2 linked regions of the Arabidopsis thaliana genome follow. The protein of the gene in region 2 interacts with the protein of the main gene of each other region in a pairwise test. Each region holds a gene or a part of one and is shown on either strand. Other genes may lie near its edges.

The links.
Region 1: the proteins of AT2G37150 (region 2) and UBC18 interact in a two-hybrid assay, tested with the Arabidopsis thaliana proteins (one large-scale study listed by BioGRID).

What each region holds. Positions count from the first base shown.
Region 1 is NC_003076.8:17,243,446-17,247,572, forward strand, and holds UBC18 (ubiquitin-conjugating enzyme 18), read right to left. Parts: upstream 2,544-4,127; 5' UTR 2,460-2,543; coding exon 2,430-2,459; intron 2,346-2,429; coding exon 2,242-2,345; intron 2,155-2,241; coding exon 2,052-2,154; intron 1,832-2,051; coding exon 1,768-1,831; intron 1,051-1,767; coding exon 962-1,050; intron 857-961; coding exon 761-856; 3' UTR 542-760; downstream 1-541. Other genes in the region: TRX3 (thioredoxin 3), read left to right, coding at 1-28, 127-273; AT5G43000 (uncharacterized protein), read right to left, coding at 2,909-3,757. UniProt on the Arabidopsis thaliana protein: Accepts the ubiquitin from the E1 complex and catalyzes its covalent attachment to other proteins.
Region 2 is NC_003071.7:15,603,075-15,609,610, forward strand, and holds AT2G37150 (RING/U-box superfamily protein), read right to left. Parts: upstream 4,527-6,536; coding exon 4,373-4,526; exon of another isoform or gene 3,135-4,372; coding exon of another isoform or gene 3,092-3,134; exon of another isoform or gene 2,920-3,091; coding exon 2,815-2,919; intron 2,681-2,814; coding exon 1,949-2,680; intron 1,874-1,948; coding exon 1,458-1,873; intron 1,268-1,457; coding exon 1,166-1,267; intron 1,089-1,165; coding exon 951-1,088; intron 827-950; coding exon 674-826; 3' UTR 507-673; downstream 1-506. Other genes in the region: AT2G37140 (Terpenoid synthases superfamily protein), read left to right, coding at 52-255; AT2G37160 (Transducin/WD40 repeat-like superfamily protein), read left to right, coding at 5,973-6,155, 6,259-6,536.

The sequences.
Region 1 (4,127 bases), on a different chromosome or scaffold from region 2:
CTTCAAGGTCGATGTTGACGAATTGAACGTGAGTTTCCTTCATCAATCTTACACTATCCCAATATCCAAACTTAGGGATTTTTGACTTCTCTGAGCCTTTATCTTGCTTGTTATGTTGTTGTGCAGACTGTTGCTGAGGAGTTTAAAGTTCAGGCAATGCCAACGTTTATCTTCATGAAAGAAGGAGAGATCAAGGAGACTGTGGTTGGTGCTGCTAAAGAAGAAATCATTGCCAATCTCGAGAAGCACAAGACAGTTGTTGCTGCTGCTTGATTTGCTTTTCTCTCTTACCTATTTTGCTAAAATATGTTTGGTGTTTTAATAAATCCTTTGTTCGCCCGAGTCTTTTCACCTTAAATGTGCTCTTATGTGTGGTGGTGAATAAATGTTGTTGCAAACTTGATTACTCGCAGCTATGCTAATTGTTCGTTCATGGTTATGTTTACTCTTTGGGGATTCTATTGTTATGTTAGTTTTTCAATTTTCAATTACATTACACCAACTAGTTATCAATCCAATTACATTGCCAAATACAATTTCGTTTTGCCTAAACTCTCCATGGTTTTTCACTTCAGAAAGGACAAAAGCACAAGGTGTTAATTCAGACACTGAAACATTTCAGATGTCATTTATACATAATGATCCGTTACAGAAAAAAAAGTGGGAGGCCATGAGGAATTTCAATTAGTATTATCAGTCTTGGGAAATTATATAAACCTCTTTTGTAACTGAAAGGAGAGACATCTTACGGTCGTCATCATTAAACCTTGTCGTCATGGAACCACCACCTTGTCTCTTTAGGAGACCTCCCGTTCTTGCAGTTCTTCACATATCGATCGTTATCAGTCGGGCGTTGCTGATATTGTCATCGACAATAAGACATAGTAAGAGTTGTGTGGCAGGGTCAAAAAGTTTGAATTTGTGACAACAATACAAAGTGTGAGAGATCAAATGTAGAAACCTTTTCGGGGGAACTTGATAGCATTGAGAGGATGCTGATGCAGACTGAACTCACTGTCATTGCTGGAGACCATGAGTCATACAGAATATCTACAAAAAGGAATTAGAGAGTGTGTTATATTAAGCGCATAATCCTAATGGACTTTCTCCTAAAATGAGGCCGGGTATAATCGTGATTATGTATTGTAACAAATGGTTCAGTTCCACCACGATTTCATTAGACCGGATTTAGATGCATTGAGAACAGATTTAAGAAATTTACATAAAACTTTCATGTTCTTATTGTTTAGTGAAAACAGCAAAACTAAAATGTGTTATTTGATTTTAACTCAAATGGGAGTTTCAAGTTATTTGATCAACATTCCAAAGGGAGTTTCAATATAACTAGAAATTGAGAGGCTGTTATAATCATGGATCAGATTCTGATTTTGCTAAAGAATTCACCATAGAGTCCAAAAGGGACGGTATTGGTTTTCTTTATGGCGTTGATAACACATTCACACCTAATTTCATGTCATGCGACGCTAGTATTAGGAACTCTTTAAGAATGAGACAGACTGAGAAAAAGGTTAAGACTGGTAACAATGTTGATATAATATATTAGGACTCTTAAGGGTATTGTTACTAACATTGCTTCTCTTTTCGCTACATTACATTCCGTGAACAAGAACAACCTATATATGTAAGTATCAAACAGATAAACTAATTTGATTGACACACACATGACTTGAGCTAGCATTTCAGAGAAACCAAAAAGTAAGAGCAAATGCAAAGAGTAAGTAGTGTAGAAACAATGAGTAAAATTACCTAAACAAATATGTCCATTGCTGTAAATATGAGGATGTAACGGTGCTGGTGGAACAAAAATCACCTGATCAAAAACCAAACACATGAAAATCAGAACACAGCACAAAACCAAGTAGAGAAAATGTCACTATATCTCAAACTAATTCTCTGACCTAAAACATGCAATACAACCATAAAAACACTCTGGTTTCAGTTAATTAATCCACAATTAAGAAATTTGAAATAAACCCTTAATCAAAAACAACAAATTTTTCAGAACAAAACCAACACAATGAAAAACTTGCCTGAGGAGCTTCCATAGGATAATGTTGAGGAAACTCAACCTGAAGATTATAAGTTTCATTAGCGTAAAGCGTACCAGGTGCTCCTGTTACCTCAATTACCCATCTTTAAATCACACAAAAACAAAAAAAACAATCAAAAATCGAAATGATAAATAATCAAAAAAAGGAAAGATTTTGAAATGAAAATTACTTTTGAAGATTATCAGTAACTCTGTGCTTAAACCCAGTCGGTGGATTTACTTGCCACTCTGATAACTCCTTTTGTAACCTATTACACGCGATCTTGCTTAACGCCTACACAAATCTCAAAAATTCAAAAAATCACAATCGGAGAATCAAAAAACACATAAGAAGACAAGAGTGAGAGAATCTAAGAACCTTGCGTGAAGGAGATGAAGAGCTTGTCATGGCGGAGACAAAGAGAGAGAGAGAGAGAGACGAAGACAGAGAGGTCTTGCTTAAGCTTTTGTCTGGATCTTTCTTCTTCTACTCGAATATTATTATTATTGAAAATGAAATCAAAAAGTGTAAACAAAAGGAAATAAAAATATTTTTCGGGGTGAGGAAAGGGCACACGTGAAAGAGTCAAAATTACAAAATTAACCATTTTCATCGGACGGCTATTAATCTTCCTTCGTGTTCACACGTGTCGTTTATCCTTCACTGACTCCACGGGACATTGAAGAGTCGATTTTATTTATAGATTTTTTTTTGTAACAAAGATTCTCTTACATTGTAGCTACCAAAGTCGTACGATCATAAGTACATAAGTTTTTAAGACAAAGTACATTACATTAAACATACGTCTCCATCTATATAATGTTTCAGCTTTCATTCTATAGTAGGCTTCTAATAGTTTATGGGTCATCATTTGGCCCAACATGAATAGCCACTTCTTGCTCTAGCTCAATACCATCTAGTGGGTCTTGAAGAGGCTCAACGTGAACTACCGTTTCTTGTTGTAGGTCAATACCATCTAATGGACATTGATGAGGTGCAATAATACAATCTTGTGACTCTTGATCTAGCACAATATCATCTTGAAGGTTTTGGTCTTTTCCATCTGATGGGTCATTAAGAGCCCCGATACAGTTTTGTGACTCTTGGTCCGGTCCAAGAACCCGATTGGTTTCTTGTGGGACGAGTTCTTGCTCTAGCTCAATACCATCTAGTGGCTCTTGAAGAGGCTCAACATGAACAACCATTCCTTGTTCAAGCTCAATACCATTTAATGGACCATTAAGAGGCTCAATAGAATTTCCAGACTCTTGATCCGGTCCAAGAACTCGATAGGCTTCTTGTGGGACGAGTTCGAGTCCGGCTGCGAAAAGCGGGAGCAAGACTAGATAATGTTTATGAGAAACGTAAGAGATCGTGGAACCGATGACGTGGACAATGCATAACATCAAAAGATATGCGTTTAATGTGTGCCAATAGAGGCTCCCATCGTTTGTGTAAAGCCAAAACACTCGGCCGCATCTTTGTATTTTCACTTCTTCCTCGATCAAACTTTGGATAAGATCGAGCAAAGTGAAGATTAATGTGTCGCAAGCACATACGATACCGAATATTTTGGCTAGATCTTTCTCCTTGTCGAGTAATTCTAAGACGAAGCAAAGAAACTCAACGAGGAATGCAATAGCAGAATGTGGTCGTAGACTTTGCCTAAAAACAACGAGTTTAATGACGGGAGTTAGGATCGCCATTTTCAAAATTATTACTATGTGATTAGAAAGCTCAAAATATACTATGGTATGAGGAGCTTTGAGTGAAGAACTTCGTACGGGGTGCTTTTTATAAAGACATGAAGTGGTTATTAATGAATGATTAGGGAGACAAAAGTCAAAAGTTAAGCTTGGAAAATTCCGTGCTAATCATAAAGATCTTCACTTTTCATTGCATAGGGAATCAAATAAACGTTTTAATATTTTTATGTTTGAGATCATTGCAAGTAAACTCTAGAGTAATAGATCAACTCTCTAATCATTTTAAGTGTATGATACAACGAATCCTAGCTGTTTGATGATTTACGACGTTCATGATTTCGGCATGTTAATTTTCTTTTTGAAAAAGTTG
Region 2 (6,536 bases):
AGATTATCATAGACATAACATCTTTTTGTATATATGCTCCTAAACATTAAGCAGTTCAAACTATACTCAAAGGCCAACCTTAGCTATGCAGAGTGGGCACAAGGAGACATCGTGCCTACATTCGATGAGTACTTGGAGATTGGTGGTGTTGAGGTGTCAATGTATGTAACTGTTTCATGCAGTTTTCTTGGGTTGGTACAAACTGCTAGAAGAAAAAGTTATGAGTGGCTTAAATCCAGACGGCCAAGTCAGTGAACGAAGTGTACTTGAAGTCAAGGAAGATAATATCAGGCGATATCTTATCACGGGCCACTAATGCTGGAAAAATGATAGATGTGACCTACAGGACCGGTGAAGAATTCACCCATCCACAAGGAAAATTCAAGGACTATATCATCTCTTTATTTGTCAATCTTATTTCTCTTTGAAGATGAAATACCATATAGTGTGAAGTGTTGTGTAACTATTTGCATCTGTAACAAATCCAGATTTTCCAAAGAGAGCCTTTTCCAATAATTAACATATATATTAACCCTTGAGAAAGATCCTGGACTTTCTTCTATTTACAACTATTAATCACTAAGAAAACTTAATGTTATATTCTGTCACATATTTTTCTTCCTTTCGAAAGACAAATGAATATAACATGCACACATAAAAGATAACCTATAATTTATGATGAGTTCTTAGAAGCATCAGGTAAAGCAGGGGATTTGCAAATAGGGCAAGAGTTCTTCATAGACAACCATTTCTTGATGCACCTCCCATGGTAGTCATGACCACACCCCTTAACTTCCCCTAACTCTTCTTTTTCCTTGTACTCCTCCTATTTGTTTACCAATTACCACATCACCCTTAAGTTAGCCTACTTCTAACTTTATAGACACATAATGTTTCAGACAACTAAATCTTACCAGGTTGTGAAAAAAAAAAAAAAAACTAAATCTTACCAGGCAGATTGCACATTTTCTTTGCTCCTCTGTTTGATATGATGGATAATACATTGTTGCTAACAAGCAACTGGAGATTGCGCTGTCGGATAGACCAGTGTTGACACTCCCAATCCTTTCTCCAAGATCAAGGAGTTCCTGCATATATATGTCAGTACCAAAACTTTTCGTTTTGCCTATGTGAGGCTTCAAAAGATAAGTGTTTGGCTATTAACCTCATAGCTCATGTTATCGATGTCAAGCCTCATGTCTCTGTGGTGATCAAGCATGTTTCTGGATCCGTAGTATTGTGGTTGGCGATCTTCAACCATGAATTCCTATTATTACATACACCCCAAAAAATAACAGATTACAGTTCAGCATGCAGCAGAAAATGATAAGATTGCAAATCTATATCTTAATATTCGATATGCACTGTATCATATCGGCTTGATCTTTATCTTAATACTAAATGTAATTTAGACAGACTTCCACTCTAAATAATGCATCTGTAAGGGAAATATATACCTCAGATGAAAACCGTTCGTGGAGAGCAACTTCATCGAAAGGAGGCTGAAACCTCTCATAGGAACTTCTGCGTCTCCCTGGCCGATCACCGCTACGCCATGAAATGTGTGGTGGTGGCCTTAAATGCCTAGACGGATAAGTCTCAGTGACCAAATGAGACCTGTCTCCAGAAGAAGATGCTACATGTCCCGATCGCGAACCGTGTGAAGAAGATCTATAGGTGGATGTTGACCTATGAGAGAAGCGGCTGCTGCTTGTAGATAGTGTTGAAGTTCCAGGAACCCCGTGGGAAACTGTAGGGTTTCTGTTTCCGGTAAGCTCATGGTGATGATAGCCGGAAGTATTAACAGATAAGCTGTTGACAACACTTCTTGCAGGAAGGAAATTATTTGTCTCTGGACTAAAGCCATTTATATCTGCAAAGTGGGAATTAATGTGATTATTAGAAACAAAGACGATTCAGATATCGAGACAAAGTGAACTTTGCATACCTCTAAGAACTGGGGACAATCTAGCACAGTTCCAGTCTTTATTTCCGTGAGATGTCTGACCAGGAAATTGACCTGAGCCATAATGATCAACACTGTGGTGGTGTGTAGAATGAGAATCAAGGCTCAAGCTTCTTGGCAAATTATTTCTACCTAAGCTGGTCTCTGAATCAAGTGTAGGACGACTCCGGACATTCCTTGAAGAGCTCTCTCCCCTGATCGAGAGATTATTACTTCTGTAAGTTGGGTTCATAAGCCATGGCATGTAATGAGGGTCATGATCATGCGTTATTGATTTTCCCAAGTGCAATTCCGAGGGGAAATGAGTGTCTGCAGGAGTTCTGTCACCGTGATATTGGCTTGAACTACCCATTTCATAGATGGAAGAAGGACATGGTCGTTTTCTCTTTTGTGCTCCTCTCACACTTTCCATAGATTGATGATCAACATAACTAGCATTTGACCATGTCTGGCTGTTGTAGCTTGAAGAAGATGCAAATGTCACATAATTCTCATGTGGAGCAGAGAAAGTTGGAACTGTTGAATTCACGGAAGGATCATGGGACGGCCCCGAAACCCCCGGATTGTAGTGTGGTCTCTCCACACTATGACCTGAGTCAGTATAAGCATTTGGTCCTGGAGAAGAGTTCCAATGAGAAGACACTGGCATTCCTTCATTCAACATGTTTTCTGCTGGATAAACATGTGATCTGTTCTCACTGGTCCCAGATGTTGCTGAGAAAATGTGGGATGGACAATAATTAATCAGAAATATGGAACATATTACCCTAAAACTAAACATGCATCATCAACCAAATTTCAATAAATAAAAAACAGATTAAGGAACTATAGAATGAAGGACTAATTACCTTGACTCGAATATGGATGTTCTGGGTGTGTATGATTCCAGCCTTGATCATGTTCATCATCAAAAAACTGGGATGAACCAAGAAAATGTCTGTGCCCCATTAAACCTGCACAAAAATTTCTCTCACCATTCAAAATCCCAGGAAAACATCCGCAAGCTCAGAAAAAAAAAAAATCTATAATTTCCAACCAACATAGTTTACTTTCAGTCTGATAGCCAAATTTCCCAAGTAAATATATAAGAAATCAGTCCATAGTTTCAAGCTCTAGTACCATTACCTTTGTAACATGTACCTACCATATTATATACCTCAGATCTCATGATATCATAAGCAAACAAGTTTTTGTGGACTTAGGCTCTGTGCTGCAGGAAAGTTCATGATGCTTATACATGAAAAATAAACCTTAATAGTACAGATCTTTTAGTTCATAAGAAAAACTTACATAGAAGAGTTTGTCAATAACAACAGACATACTTCTTTTAAACCAAAAGAAAAGAGAGGCAGAAAACAAGCACGGTTGGGAAACTAAGAAGCCTTTGCATTTAAAGTATCACTAAGGTTCTCGACTCTCCAAACCAGAGCCATCAAAAGTGAAGAGTAATACAAGGAGTTCATCAAATTACACACTTTCAAAAAGTCTATAGAATTTACAGAAAAGTCTATAGGAAACTGATTAGGAAATAGAAGAGGATGAAAGAATAAGGCACGATGGCAAATTATCATATACTGTATCCGCATAAAAGAGCATCAGAGCAAGTTCATGCAAAATAGGTAACACTTGATATCATCTTTTCAGTTTCTATCAATGTACTACTTCTTCGTTTATATTCAAGTAAAGGCCTTGTACATGTATTTCACTAAACTTACAACCATAGATGACATGAGCAAGAAAATTACATGGAAAATCCAATAGCAGGACTTAAGCTTAAAATATTTTTCTGAACCGAAACCCTCAAAAGTGCACCTGCAGGCAAATAATCCTAGAAGGATATAGGTTTAGAAAGTCCTAACCACGAATACACTACACTACCCAAGTGATAAAGCCGTCGTGCTTGATTGATCACTGATTCATCATTTCTGCACACCTTTAAAGTAGACCAACAGGAAGCAATTAGGCCCTTGACTTCACTAATACAATGAGAACACCAAATTCTATTCCTTCTCCTCTGATCCACAAATTGAATACACTACAGTTTCCTTAGATAAACGGATTTAGTCCACAAAAGTACTAGCCTGCAAAGGCTTACTACCTCATTTACTATTTCTGCGCTCTTATTGTCTTCAAACCCACCAGCACACCTTAATAGACTCCTGAATTCGGGCTTGTGTGAAAGGATGCTTTCTTAAAATTAGCATTATGTTTCACATCATTGTGCATCCAAATCAAATGCTTGTACGTGACAGCATGTCACTCTAGAAACCATTATATGATAGATGTAGTTTGTTAGGAAGATTGAAGTTCCCCACTCATGGATACCGTACCTCAAGCATCTTCAACTGACTAAACACACTCTGGTACACATGTGATGGCAGAGACTAGTTATGGTTATTTCCTTACCCCTATGGATCAGAATAACTTCTAGATGACTTGAGTTCAAGTTCGCTTTGCTTTCCCAATCAACCAAGAAGGTCCACAACACAATCCGCAAATCAGAATACATCAAGGATAGGCCAGCCACCAATCCTAATGGGCTAACATGAGGAACTAACATCTGTTTGAAATGTGTTATCAATGCAATTTCTTTAAGAATGATGCCATAATTTCAAAGTTTCTAAAAGTTCTCAAAGAGGAAGATGAATTCTGACCTGAAACTATAGCCGTACTAGTTCTCAAATCTTCCAAACACTTGAATCACTGATTAGGCTTTTCTCCAGTTTCTCAACTACCAGAGGTTCGTGGTGGAGAAAGGTATGATAGAACTAGAAACCACCATTGCCACTAAACCTGCAGCCTGCAGGATACAAACCAGCTAAGCCTAGGTTATGCTAATACACTATATCCCAAACTAGCTTACCCGCATCGCTGAAGTAGCAGCCTGAACAACATTATCAACAGCTAACCAAAACACAAAGCTTACAACATCTCCTCTAATCACCGAGCTGGTCTCTTCTCAGTATCGGAATCTTAAAAAGCTAACAACTACGTGAAAGAGAACAAATTCGAAGTCTGAAATTATCAGAACCGACTCCGGTTAACGGACATGATCGCGATCATACCCGAAGATTGTGGGAAAAGTCACCGATGTAGCAGCAAAACCGGGAATAAACCGGATTAAACCGAAAAAAAGAAACAATCCATCATCACACAATCACAAGAGAAAAAAGGAAACAACGATCGGCTTGTTTATACATACCAACACGAAATAATCAGCTCAACGGCGAAACAACAATAATGATCGGAGAAATGAGAAACATTACCAAAGCGTTCCGGCGATGAGAAAAGAAGACCGATCGGAGAAAAGCAAAGAGACGTATGGATTCGTATAGATGACGCAACCTTTTATGAAAAAGAGGTTTTAGAGAGAGAAATATGTTTTGAAGACAAATTGCTTTCTTTTTTGGTGATGGTTGAGCGATGAAGAGTATCGGTTTATATTTAAGAAAAATCAAATTAAAGCGGTTGAGTTACGACGTTGCCGGGACATTAATCCCTTCTCTGACCAACTTCACCGGCTACCGGTAAAACCCGTTCACTGTCTTATTGTCGACTAAACAATTTATTAATTAACTATGGTTCTTCAGTAATGGGCCTATATTTTTGGACTGTACTTGGGCCTCAGCTGTACGTATCAAAAGGGTTCGAGAAACTCAGAGATTAAAGGGATCTTGACCGTTGATCGAGATGACTTTGATTTTATCCATTAATAGTCAATTTGATTGATGAGTTAAGAGGATGATTAAGAAAGCAATAAAGGAAGCGAATCGGAATCCACATTGTATTAATCTTTTTGATCCAGTAGCCATTGGCGAATCCAGGAGTATTAAAGTTCCATTTTGATTTTGGCGACGATGATGAACAGAGTTTAGAGAAATTTGCATTGAAGAAGAGAAGATTTTTGGATTTTGTGTAGTGGGAGAAGGGTAAACCCTAGCTTGGGAGGGACATGATCGGATGCTCTAAGTAGCTTGTGAATTAGAGAAAGAGCAAGTGAGCAAATATGATGAACACTTCGAATGGGATGATCTCTGGGCCTTCTTCTTCGTCAGCTTCGGCGGCGAATCCTCAGTCTCCGGGAATCAAAACGTATTTCAAGACGCCTGAAGGAAAGTACAAGCTCCACTACGAGAAGACGCATCCCTCTGGGCTTCTTCACTACACTCATGGCAAAACCGTTACTCAGGTGAAGATTTGATTCGTTTTCTTTGGTGTTTATTTTTGAATTGAAAGTTTAATCCAATCTGATTTCTTTGCACTTGTGATTGCTATTACGAAATTGCTATTAGGTTTTGTGTAAGAATATCAAATGCACATTTCATTTTTATGTTTTGAAAGTGGTTTCTGAGAATGGATTTGTGAAATTTTGGTGTCAGGTTACTCTAGCTCACCTTAAGGATAAACCTGCTCCATCGACACCAACTGGGACCTCGTCAAGTTCCACAGCTAGTAGCGGTTTCCGGTCAGCAACAGCAAGGTTATTGGGTGGTGGGAATGGTAACCGTGCGCTTAGTTTTGTTGGAGGTAATGGAGGGGCTAAAAATGTGGGTGCAAGTTCAAGGATTGG